Linked DNA regions of Saccharomyces cerevisiae S288C. The protein of the gene in region 1 binds, or shares a complex with, the protein of each later gene. Each region holds a gene or a part of one and is shown in the gene's direction. Other genes may lie near its edges. The genes, in order: TTI1 and TEL2.

Region 1 (5,619 bases):
AAAATGCCATTATTGTGGAGTTTTGTAATTGGTACAACAATAATTAGAAGCTTGCCCGTTGTGTATGTTTTCACTTACTCCTCTAATGTGTTCAGGCACCATAAAGATGTTCATTTCGTCGTATTTTTATCATTGTGGCTACTGTTTCAAATTAGTATACTGTATTCTCAAGATGTATTGGGATCGCGCTGGTTCTTGCCTAAGCACACAATACCTGATGGATATTCGTATTTCAAGCCCCTTTCAAACGAGTATATATCGGAGCATGGTGGTGGAACTGCTGAACATACCGTTGATTGCGCGATATGTATGTCTGATGTTCCAATTTACATAGAGGAAATTCCAGAAACTCATAAGGTGGATCAGCACTCTTACATGGTAACGCCTTGTAATCACGTATTTCATACTTCGTGTCTAGAAAACTGGATGAATTATAAGTTACAATGTCCTGTGTGTAGGTCACCATTACCTCCGTTGTAGATAGCATCTCTTGATCCTAAGAACTATATACTGTATTTGTATTCAAGATCCAAGATACCGTGACATTTCCTATTTGTCAACCATTGCAATAAGAAATTTTACATGAATAGTGCATTAACTTTTTATTACCACTAAAGTAGTTTTGCTTAAATATACAATAGGCAAACTAGACTTAGGATAATTCACAAGGGTTTTTAGTGTTACCCTTTTTCCGTATGACACATTTTTCGAGGAATTAATTATTGGGAAAATATTGCCGATCAAGATCCATTGAGGTGAATCTAAATCGCTCCAACTCCAAGTTGGGGAATCTTAAGACCGTCACTGCCTTCCAATTACACTGCTTTTGTTTCTTTGACAATAAGAACGCAAAAGTAAATTTCTTTTTTTTAACAAATTATGACACATCCTGTAGCAGTGAAGGCATGTCTATTTGACATGGATGGTCTTCTCATCAACACAGAGGATATTTATACTGAAACTTTAAATGAAACTCTCGCAGAATTTGGTAAGGGACCTTTAACTTGGGATGTGAAGATTAAATTGCAAGGGCTTCCGGGACCGGAAGCAGGAAAAAGGGTGATCGAACACTACAAATTACCAATAACTTTAGATGAGTACGACGAAAGAAATGTTGCATTGCAATCTCTTAAATGGGGTACTTGCGAATTTCTTCCCGGTGCATTGAATTTGTTGAAATACTTAAAGTTAAAGAACATTCCTATTGCATTATGTACGTCTTCGAACAAGACTAAATTTCGCGGCAAAACAAGTCATTTAGAGGAAGGTTTTGATCTTTTCGATACCATTGTCACTGGTGATGATCCAAGAATTGCAAAAGGTAGGGGTAAGCCTTTCCCGGACATTTGGCAGTTGGGTTTAAAGGAATTGAATGAGAAGTTTCATACCGATATTAAGCCCGATGAGTGTATAGTGTTCGAAGATGGTATTCCAGGCGTAAAATCAGCCAAGGCATTTGGTGCACACGTTATTTGGGTCCCCCATCCAGAAGCACATGCTGTTTTGGGGGACACAGAAGCTTTGTTAGCCGGTAAAGGTGAACTATTGTCTTCTTTGGAAAAACTGGAAATGTCCAAATATGGACTGTGAATTTCCAGTATTTACGTAAACAATATATTTGTATATTGCACTAAGTATAAAAAGGGATGATTTGTATTTGATTTATCACACTACTTTATGTGGTGAGCTCAGTTATTTTTGTATAATATACTATAGTACATGTTTGGGTTTTTATCGTTTTATTTCAATCTCATTACAATAAAATATTATAGTGAACATGCACATCGAAAGGAAAGATTGCAATAGCTGGTGTTCAAAAGCTTTGTGCAAATGAATTCAGACACGAATGCATTTAAGGACATAAGAATTTCATGTGTTGAACTTTCTAGGATCGCTTTTTTACCCACCGAATCATTTGATCCAAATTCATTAACGCTATTGGCATGTTTAAAAAAAGTTGAAGAGAAGTTATCAGCATACGAAGACGATTCACTTTCGCCAAAATTTGCAGATTATGTTTTTGTTCCTATCGCGAGTTTATTGAAACAGCCAGCTCTCGGCGAGTCTCAAACAGAATACGTCCTACTAATTATATTTCATCTCTTACGGACATGTTGGTCATCTAATGGTAAATTCTCCGAGCAATTGGGACAACAACTGTTCCCCTTAATCACATTTTTAGTCAGTTCTGATAAAGATAATCAAAAATTAATTACTAGATCAGACGAGTTCAAGTACGCTGGTTGTTTAGTCTTGCATCAGTTTTTCAAATCAGTAAGATCGCAAAGGTACCATAAAGAGTTCTTTTCGAACTCAAAACCTAATTTACTTCCCGCTCTAGGACATTCTGTTACCATTCTGTTGAAAATTCTGGAGCAATCGCCCCAAAATAATGAGCTTCAATTCAAAGCTTTGGCATCCTTAGAAGTACTATTTCAGGACATAATATCTGATGGTGAAATGCTTTCCTTTATTCTTCCGGGGAACGTTTCTGTTTTCGCTAAGATACTTACTAAACCAGGCCGTCAAATACATTATAAGGTGTGTGTTCGCACGCTAGAGGTTCTGGCAAAATTATTGGTTTTGGTTTACGATGATTTTAGTTTGGATATCAAAGTAAATAAGTTAACAGATATTCGAGAGTTGAGCGATACAAAGTTAAAACACGAGATAAATCAATCATTTATGTTTAATGGACCTATTGTTTTGTTACGCACAGATGGGAAGACGCATAGAGATACAAGTTGGTTGACGGCAACTTCTGGGCAAATCAATATTGCTTTGGAGGCCTTTATACCCAAACTATTAAAACGTAATAATGAATCAATTGATGAGGCATTAGCGACATTTGTATCAATCCTTTTAACTAGATGTGAAAATTCTTTAAATAATTGTGAGAAAGTGTTGGTATCCACTTTAGTACATTTGGAGCGTGATCCGATGTCCAAATTACCATCGCATTTGGTAAAATTAAAGGAAGTTGTCAATGAAGACCTGCACAAGCTAAGTGACATTATTCGGTTTGAAAATGCAGATAGGTTATCATCTTTATCATTTGCAATCACTATTCTAGAGAAAAATAACGAAAGAGATACAATGATCAATGAGGTAGTTAGATGTTTATTTGAATCGCTTAATGAATCTATTGAGCCACCAAGTTTGATCAATCATAAAGAGAGAATAATTGAACAAAGTAGTCAATTAACAACTACAGTAAATTTCGAAAACTTGGAAAGTACGAATGCTCTGATTGCTTTACCAAGATTATCAGAAGACATGTCACTCAAACTGAAAAAATTTACATACCATATGGGTTCTTTGTTGTTAGAAAGACATATTCTCAACGATGTGGTGACAGAGTTGATTTCAGAACAAGTTGATTCACCAAGAACGCAGAAGATAGTTGCGCTGTGGTTAAGCACCAATTTTATAAAGGCTATGGAAAAGCAACCGAAGGAGGAAGAAGTCTATCTACAATTTGAATCTGATGCCAACTATTCCTCTTCCATGGTTGAAGAAGTGTGTTTGATTGTATTGGAATTTTGCAATGAACTTTCTCAAGACATTAGCATGGAGATTGAAGGTAAAGGCATAAAAAAAAGTGATGAGTTTGCCGTATGTACAGTTTTATTCTCTATTGAAACGATTTGTGCGGTAATGAGAGAAGAATTTCAACCAGAATTGATTGACTATATATACACAGTAGTTGACGCCTTGGCATCACCGTCCGAAGCCATTAGGTATGTGAGCCAATCCTGTGCATTGAGGATAGCAGATACCCTATATCATGGGTCTATCCCAAACATGATCTTAAGCAACGTAGATTATCTTGTAGAATCTATTTCCTCAAGATTGAATTCTGGGATGACTGAACGAGTGAGCCAAATATTAATGGTGATTTGCCAATTGGCTGGCTATGAAACCATTGAAAATTTTAAAGATGTTATTGAAACGATATTTAAACTACTGGATTATTATCATGGATATAGTGATCTCTGTCTTCAATTTTTCCAACTATTTAAAATCATCATTTTGGAGATGAAGAAAAAATATATCAATGATGATGAGATGATTTTGAAAATAGCTAATCAACACATTTCACAAAGTACTTTTTCGCCCTGGGGTATGACCGATTTTCAGCAAGTACTCAATATACTAGATAAAGAGACACAGGTTAAAGATGACATAACAGACGAGAACGACGTCGATTTTTTGAAGGATGATAATGAGCCCAGTAATTTTCAAGAATATTTCGACTCCAAATTAAGAGAGCCAGATAGCGACGACGATGAAGAAGAAAGAGAAGAAGAGGTGGAAGGAAGTTCTAAAGAGTATACTGACCAGTGGACCTCACCTATACCATCAGATTCATACAAAATACTATTGCAAATTTTGGGTTATGGGGAAAGATTATTAACCCATCCATCAAAACGATTAAGAGTGCAAATTCTTATTGTTATGAGGCTTATATTTCCCTTGCTATCAACACAGCATAATCTGTTGATAAGGGAGGTTGCTAGTACATGGGACTCCATCATACAGTGCGTCCTATGCTCTGATTATTCGATCGTTCAGCCCGCATGTTCATGCGTGGAGCAGATGATAAAATATTCTGGTGATTTTGTCGCCAAGAGATTCATTGAACTTTGGCAGAAACTGTGTCAGGATTCTTTTATATTGAAAGAACTGAGGATTGATCCAACGGTGCACAACCATGAGAAAAAATCGATTAGTAAGCATGTCAAATTCCCACCAGTAACTGAAAATGCGCTAGTATCGATGGTACATATGGTGCTAGAAGGGGTCAAAATTACAGAGTATTTAATTTCTGAAGCGGTACTTGAACAAATAATATATTGTTGTATTCAGGTTGTTCCAGTGGAGAAAATATCATCTATGTCATTGATAGTGGGGGATATCGTGTGGAAAATAAGAAATATAAATTAAACTTATGTGGCTAAACATATGCATTTGTATATGGTAATACAGTGGTTTATTATTGCTCACATTGTTCACACCAGTGACTATAGTGATTACAATAAGTAATTAGACAATAAATGTTATGAGTGATCCAGAATGAGGAATGATATGTGACTTCAGAATTAGCAGGGCAGCTAAATTAAAGATCTTTTAATTCAATTTTAGCTTACGATTTATATCTATGAAAGACATGAATTGTCACTTTGGGTAACCAATGATATCGGTGACTGCTATTTATACCTATCTCATATTATATTAAGAAGACCAGCTTTTATTCTCGGTTGGTAGTACCACTTGTCTACTAATCATCAACAATATATTCTAATAAAGTATTATGTACATATATATATATATATTACCAGCTCGGCCAGGCATTGGAAAACAGAAGAAACATTTCTCATGATTGAAATGGATAAACACGTTAATCAACAGGGACTATGTTGCAGGTGAAATATTAGCAATTAATAAGAAGGGCAATACGCATATTACAAATGAAGCGATAGAACAGACAGTGTCCAAGTAATGATAATAACCAATATATGCGAGTATTAGTATTTTCCTAAAAAAAAGCAAGATTATATACACGGAATGGAGGAGCAGTAGCTACTTTAGATTCGGAGTTCCCTTACACTTGGAGAA
Region 2 (4,759 bases), on another chromosome or scaffold:
AATTTCTGAACTGTTTGAAAACTCGATGAATTTTGTGATTTTTAGGCGTGTAAAGCAATGAATGAATGCATTTTGGCAAAAGTCAAAAACAAATGATAGCGTATCATTTCGTAGCATGCAATATACATTGAACAAACAGGAAAAGATTTCAATTTTTTTCTGGGCACTCTGAGCACTAGATATAAATTTTTCAAATTTCAGTATAGTACGATGAGATGTTTTTGAATCATTACTGATTAAAACATTTGAGATTTCCAAATTAGCAGTCTTTAACAAAAACGAATGACTCTTAAATAAAACAGAAGCATTGAAAAGGACACTGATAATATTTGACAGTCGTTTAGGCTCTTTATAATCGATACAAATTTCTGATAAAACTCCCAGAAGTTCGGATAATAATGCCGCCGCAGATTCGTCATTAATGGATTTAATATTTGAGTTGATATAAATAACAGTACAATCAAACTGCCTCAATATATCCTTATTTTTAGGTAATCCCTCTAGGCGAATAGTAGACCAAAGACAGACTAAACATTTTAATGTTGCGGATATATGTTTCCCTTTATTTTGTAGAAAATTCGTTGCATTTTCGAGTATTACGTTCAAATCATCGACAGATATACAGGACCAGAGAAGACGGTTTTCACTCATGTTGCAGTATTCATTGAATTCTTTTTTACTTTTTATCGCTCTTTGTACCTCAGTAGTTTCTTCGTAACTTAAAATGTCTAGAAGCATTATTTTATCCAATCCATCGTACAGCATGGAATAGGATAAGTAAAATGAATTTAAATATATTTTATTAGGTCCCATCTCCAAATAATTTTTATGAAGAAGGTTTTTGCTAAAACACTCGACGGTAATGTTGCTAATGAACTTTTTAAAAGGTAATTTGAACTGTTTGATATATTGTAGAAATTTTAGCCCGAATAGAACTTTGCAACTCGTCGTGACAGAAAAAAAGCTCAGCACGATTTTTGTGAGAGCGTGAGCTTTGAGGTTAGGGTCTTTCAAAAGATATCTTTTATCATGGGAAAATAGTTCTAATATATGCGGTAAGTATTCGTCTACTAGCTTTCTTTTCAGTATAATCTGCAGCGCTAATATTTTCAGATTTGAAAGATAGTAGTCGTTCCACGTACTGAAGTCTGCTAGAAGAATGTTTTTCAGACTATGAGCTTGAAATAAATTCGTTTCATTGAAAAGAAAAATAATTTCAGAGGAGGCCAATCCTAATGCGTTATTATTTATTAGTTTAACAATTATCATCAAATGTTGTTTAACAGTGGAGTTTATATGGCCCCACATGTGATGGCTCTTCAATAGGCTATATATTGAATTTAATGAATGGTCAACAGTGGTAATATCCTCAATGGCTAAGTCTATGTTATTGCTTGCAATTTTTGTAAAGTCACGTATTATGTTATTATGCATTGCTAGTATGCCAATAGAATTGGATGAGGCGTCTCCAGACAACACCGAGGTCAGTGGTCTAGTTTGGCCACTATGATGTACTTTCGAAAGCGTGTCGTTTAAAAGGTAGGACTTGCTAGTCATCGGAGTATTCGGACTAATCTCATTCAGCGGTTCCTCCTGTTTTACCATCATTCCTTAATTTATAAGCACTTCGTGCCTAGGTTAAATTATTACTAGGTTAGCCTCAAAAATGTTGGGTTTAGGTCAACTTTTTACTATGCTCGCAGTTAGAAGGAAAAGAAAAATATGCTATAGCCAGATGCTCCTGTGAAACGTGTCCTAACTAAAATAATTCGGATGTTTCTGATGATAGAGTGTCTATATTCCTCCAAAAGGAATTTAACTAATTGTGGTAAGCTTCTCGCTTCAAATGCGCAATGTTACGTGGATGGGCTTTGTATCCATGTTCTTGTTTTTGTTTGTTTACCTCTTTTCTGTAAAGACCCGTGAAGTTTGAAAAGAAAGAAAATAAAAACAAACACCAAGAAATGCAGACAATAAGTACTTGTGGACAGGTTGCCGCTAATAGAACGTGAATCGAGCTACTTTATACGCATTTAATTCCTCATGAAATGGTTTTAGAAACGCTGAAACAAGGGCTTGACAGCAGTCAAATACATGAAGCTTTAATACAACTAGATTCCTATCCTCGCGAACCGGTGGATCTAGATGCCTCGATGGTTCTCATAAAATTCGTAATTCCAGTTTATCCATCACTACCAGAAAGATCGAAGGTGATATTGAGACGGCTAGCTTCTAAATCGTTTACATTTTTATGCCAAATTGTCACCTTCTCAAGGACAATAAGTGGCCGCGATGGACTGCAAGAGATACGCATATACCAAGAAATTTTAGAAGACATCATCAGTTTTGAACCGGGATGTTTGACTTTTTATTTAAAGGCAAGCACTACTAGCAAAGCAGACCGTGATAGCATTAAGGCCCTTTTCTTTGGGAGCAAGTTATTTAATGTGTTGGCCAACCGAATTGATATGGCGAAATATTTGGGATACCTTCGGCTTCAGTGGAAATTTCTACTTGAGAGTAATGAAACAGATCCACCTGGGTTTTTAGGGGAATGGTTAGTTTCATCATTTTTGCTTAACCCAGTGCTAGCGGCAGATATGTTATTAGGCGAATTATTTTTATTGAAAGAGTCGTATTTCTTTTCTTTTCAGAAAATCATATCTGCTAGTAGTCTGATAGATCAAAAGAGGCTGATTGCTAAGTTTTTATTACCATATATTCAAGTTATCGTGACTTTAGAAAATTTGAACGATGTTAGGAAAATTCTGCGGCGGTTTGATCTCGATAAAATCATAAGTCTGTCCGTATTATTTGAAATACAGTCGCTGCCATTGAAGGAAGTGATAGTACGTCTGATGAGCAACCACTCTTCCACGAAGTTTGTTAGCGCTTTGGTAAGTAAATTTGCTGATTTTACAGATGAGGAAGTAGACACAAAGACATGTGAATTGCTTGTACTCTTTGCAGTGCACAATCTCAATCATTCCCAGAGAGAGGAAATAGCACACGATGAGCGGTTTTTGAATGGCGTGACCAAACATTTAGGTAGCAATGAACGTGAGGCAAGGGAGCGTGCGATGTTTATTGCCAAGCTTTTATCAGGCGGTCATCTGAAGTACGAAAGTGATTTTAAAATCAATATACCGAATGTCAAATTCGAAAGCAATAGCGATGATAAAATCATTGATTTCCAATCTTTAAAAAATCCATCCATATGCAATACCCAAACTGATGTGGGTAAGGATAAGATTACTGAGGTCTCGGGTCATGTTCAAAGCCTTACATTGGACTGCAGTGATAGCGATGATGAAGATGAGAACGATGAGCGGGAGATTGTTAAACGAATTGTATTTTTAAAAGATTTAATGAAAGAATACGAAAAAACTGGGGAATCTCGAAAAGCTCCATTGATACCACTTCTGAAGCAAACAGTGAAATTGATACGGCAAAAGGCGGATTTTCAGTTAGAGGTTGGCTATTATGCACAAGGTATTCTGTCAAGCATTGTGTGCTTGAATAATGAATTTGATGAACCGCTTTTCGAGCAGTGGAGAATAAACGCTCTAACAAGCATACTGGTCGTCCTTCCAGAGAAGGTGAATGGCGCTATAAATATTCTATTCAATTCAGAACTGTCGTTACAGCAAAGGATGTCACTATTGTCGGCTCTGGGTCTTTCTGCAAGAGAGTTGAGAGGGCTTGATGATCCTACTATTGTCAAGCCCAAGTTTGATTTTCCAACAAATCGTTTACCGTGGGATGATCAAAGCCATCATAATAGTAGGCTTGTTGAAGTTCAAGAGTCAACAAGTATGATAAAGAAGACGAAAACAGTATGGAAATCTAGAAAACTAGGCAAGGATCGAGAAAAAGGAACGCAAAACCGCTTTAGAAAATATGCTGGTCTATTCTTCTATCCGCTAGCACACGGTTGGCTTAATGGAATTGACGTAGGCACATACAATCAGCTTTTTAAGTCGCATTATTTAACAACACTGCGTATCATATACTCTTGCGCTAACCCGGTCCACGATTTTGAATCCATGACGGAGTTGATGAATCATATAATTAGTTCAGCCATAGAGGAAGGAATTTCTCTCAATAAAGGTTAGTAGCATAGTTATTTGTACCAATCTTATGATACATATTTGAATAAATTTAGTGCGTTCTCTGTCAGCGTCGTTAGTATTTAATGCACAGCATATTATTTCAGAAGGTCGGCCGACTCCTGCAACTGGGAAAAAGAACTTCAATAAGAAAAGGCCTGAACAAATCTGCTTGGTAAGGGCCCAACAACATTTAAGAAATTGTACATTTTGAAAGCACTGATCCATCAATTAAAGCACCGAACAACCTCAGAGTTGATACAATTATTAGTTAAAGGATAGGATATGTCATTTTTTGATTCTTTACGTCAAAAGGCACCCTTTTTGGATAAACTGGCAGACAGTTTCACTCCAACATTAACCAGAGATGAGAAATTCAGATTAAAATATAAACTTCCAGCTAATGAAAACATTTTGGAAGATACGAATGCAGAAGTTTCATTTGCAACTTCCATTAAAGATGGAAAAGGGCATTCTGATAGAGTGAACAATAAAGGGAGAAAAACTGCTTATGTGTATTCCGGGAGATTGTTTTTAACACCTCATTTTCTGGTATTTCGAGATGCATTTGATCATTCATCGTGCGTACTAATACTGAATATTTCTACCATTAAACGTGTAGAGAGGTCGCCATCCGAATCATATGAATT

The links.
Region 2: TTI1 (region 1) and TEL2 share a complex: the UniProt entries of both Saccharomyces cerevisiae proteins name them as parts of the TTT complex.

What each region holds. Positions count from the first base shown.
Region 1 is NC_001143.9:373,626-379,244, forward strand, and holds TTI1 (Tti1p), read left to right. Parts: upstream 1-1,830; coding exon 1,831-4,947; downstream 4,948-5,619. Other genes in the region: ubiquitin-protein ligase TUL1, read left to right, coding at 1-480; YKL033W-A (haloacid dehalogenase superfamily protein), read left to right, coding at 880-1,590. UniProt on the Saccharomyces cerevisiae protein: Component of the ASTRA complex involved in chromatin remodeling.
Region 2 is NC_001139.9:685,851-690,609, forward strand, and holds TEL2 (Tel2p), read left to right. Parts: upstream 1-2,048; coding exon 2,049-4,115; downstream 4,116-4,759. Other genes in the region: ESP1 (separase), read right to left, coding at 1-1,608; GTPase-activating protein MDR1, read left to right, coding at 4,395-4,759. UniProt on the Saccharomyces cerevisiae protein: Part of the TTT complex that is required to stabilize protein levels of the phosphatidylinositol 3-kinase-related protein kinase (PIKK) family proteins. Required for telomere length regulation and telomere position effect.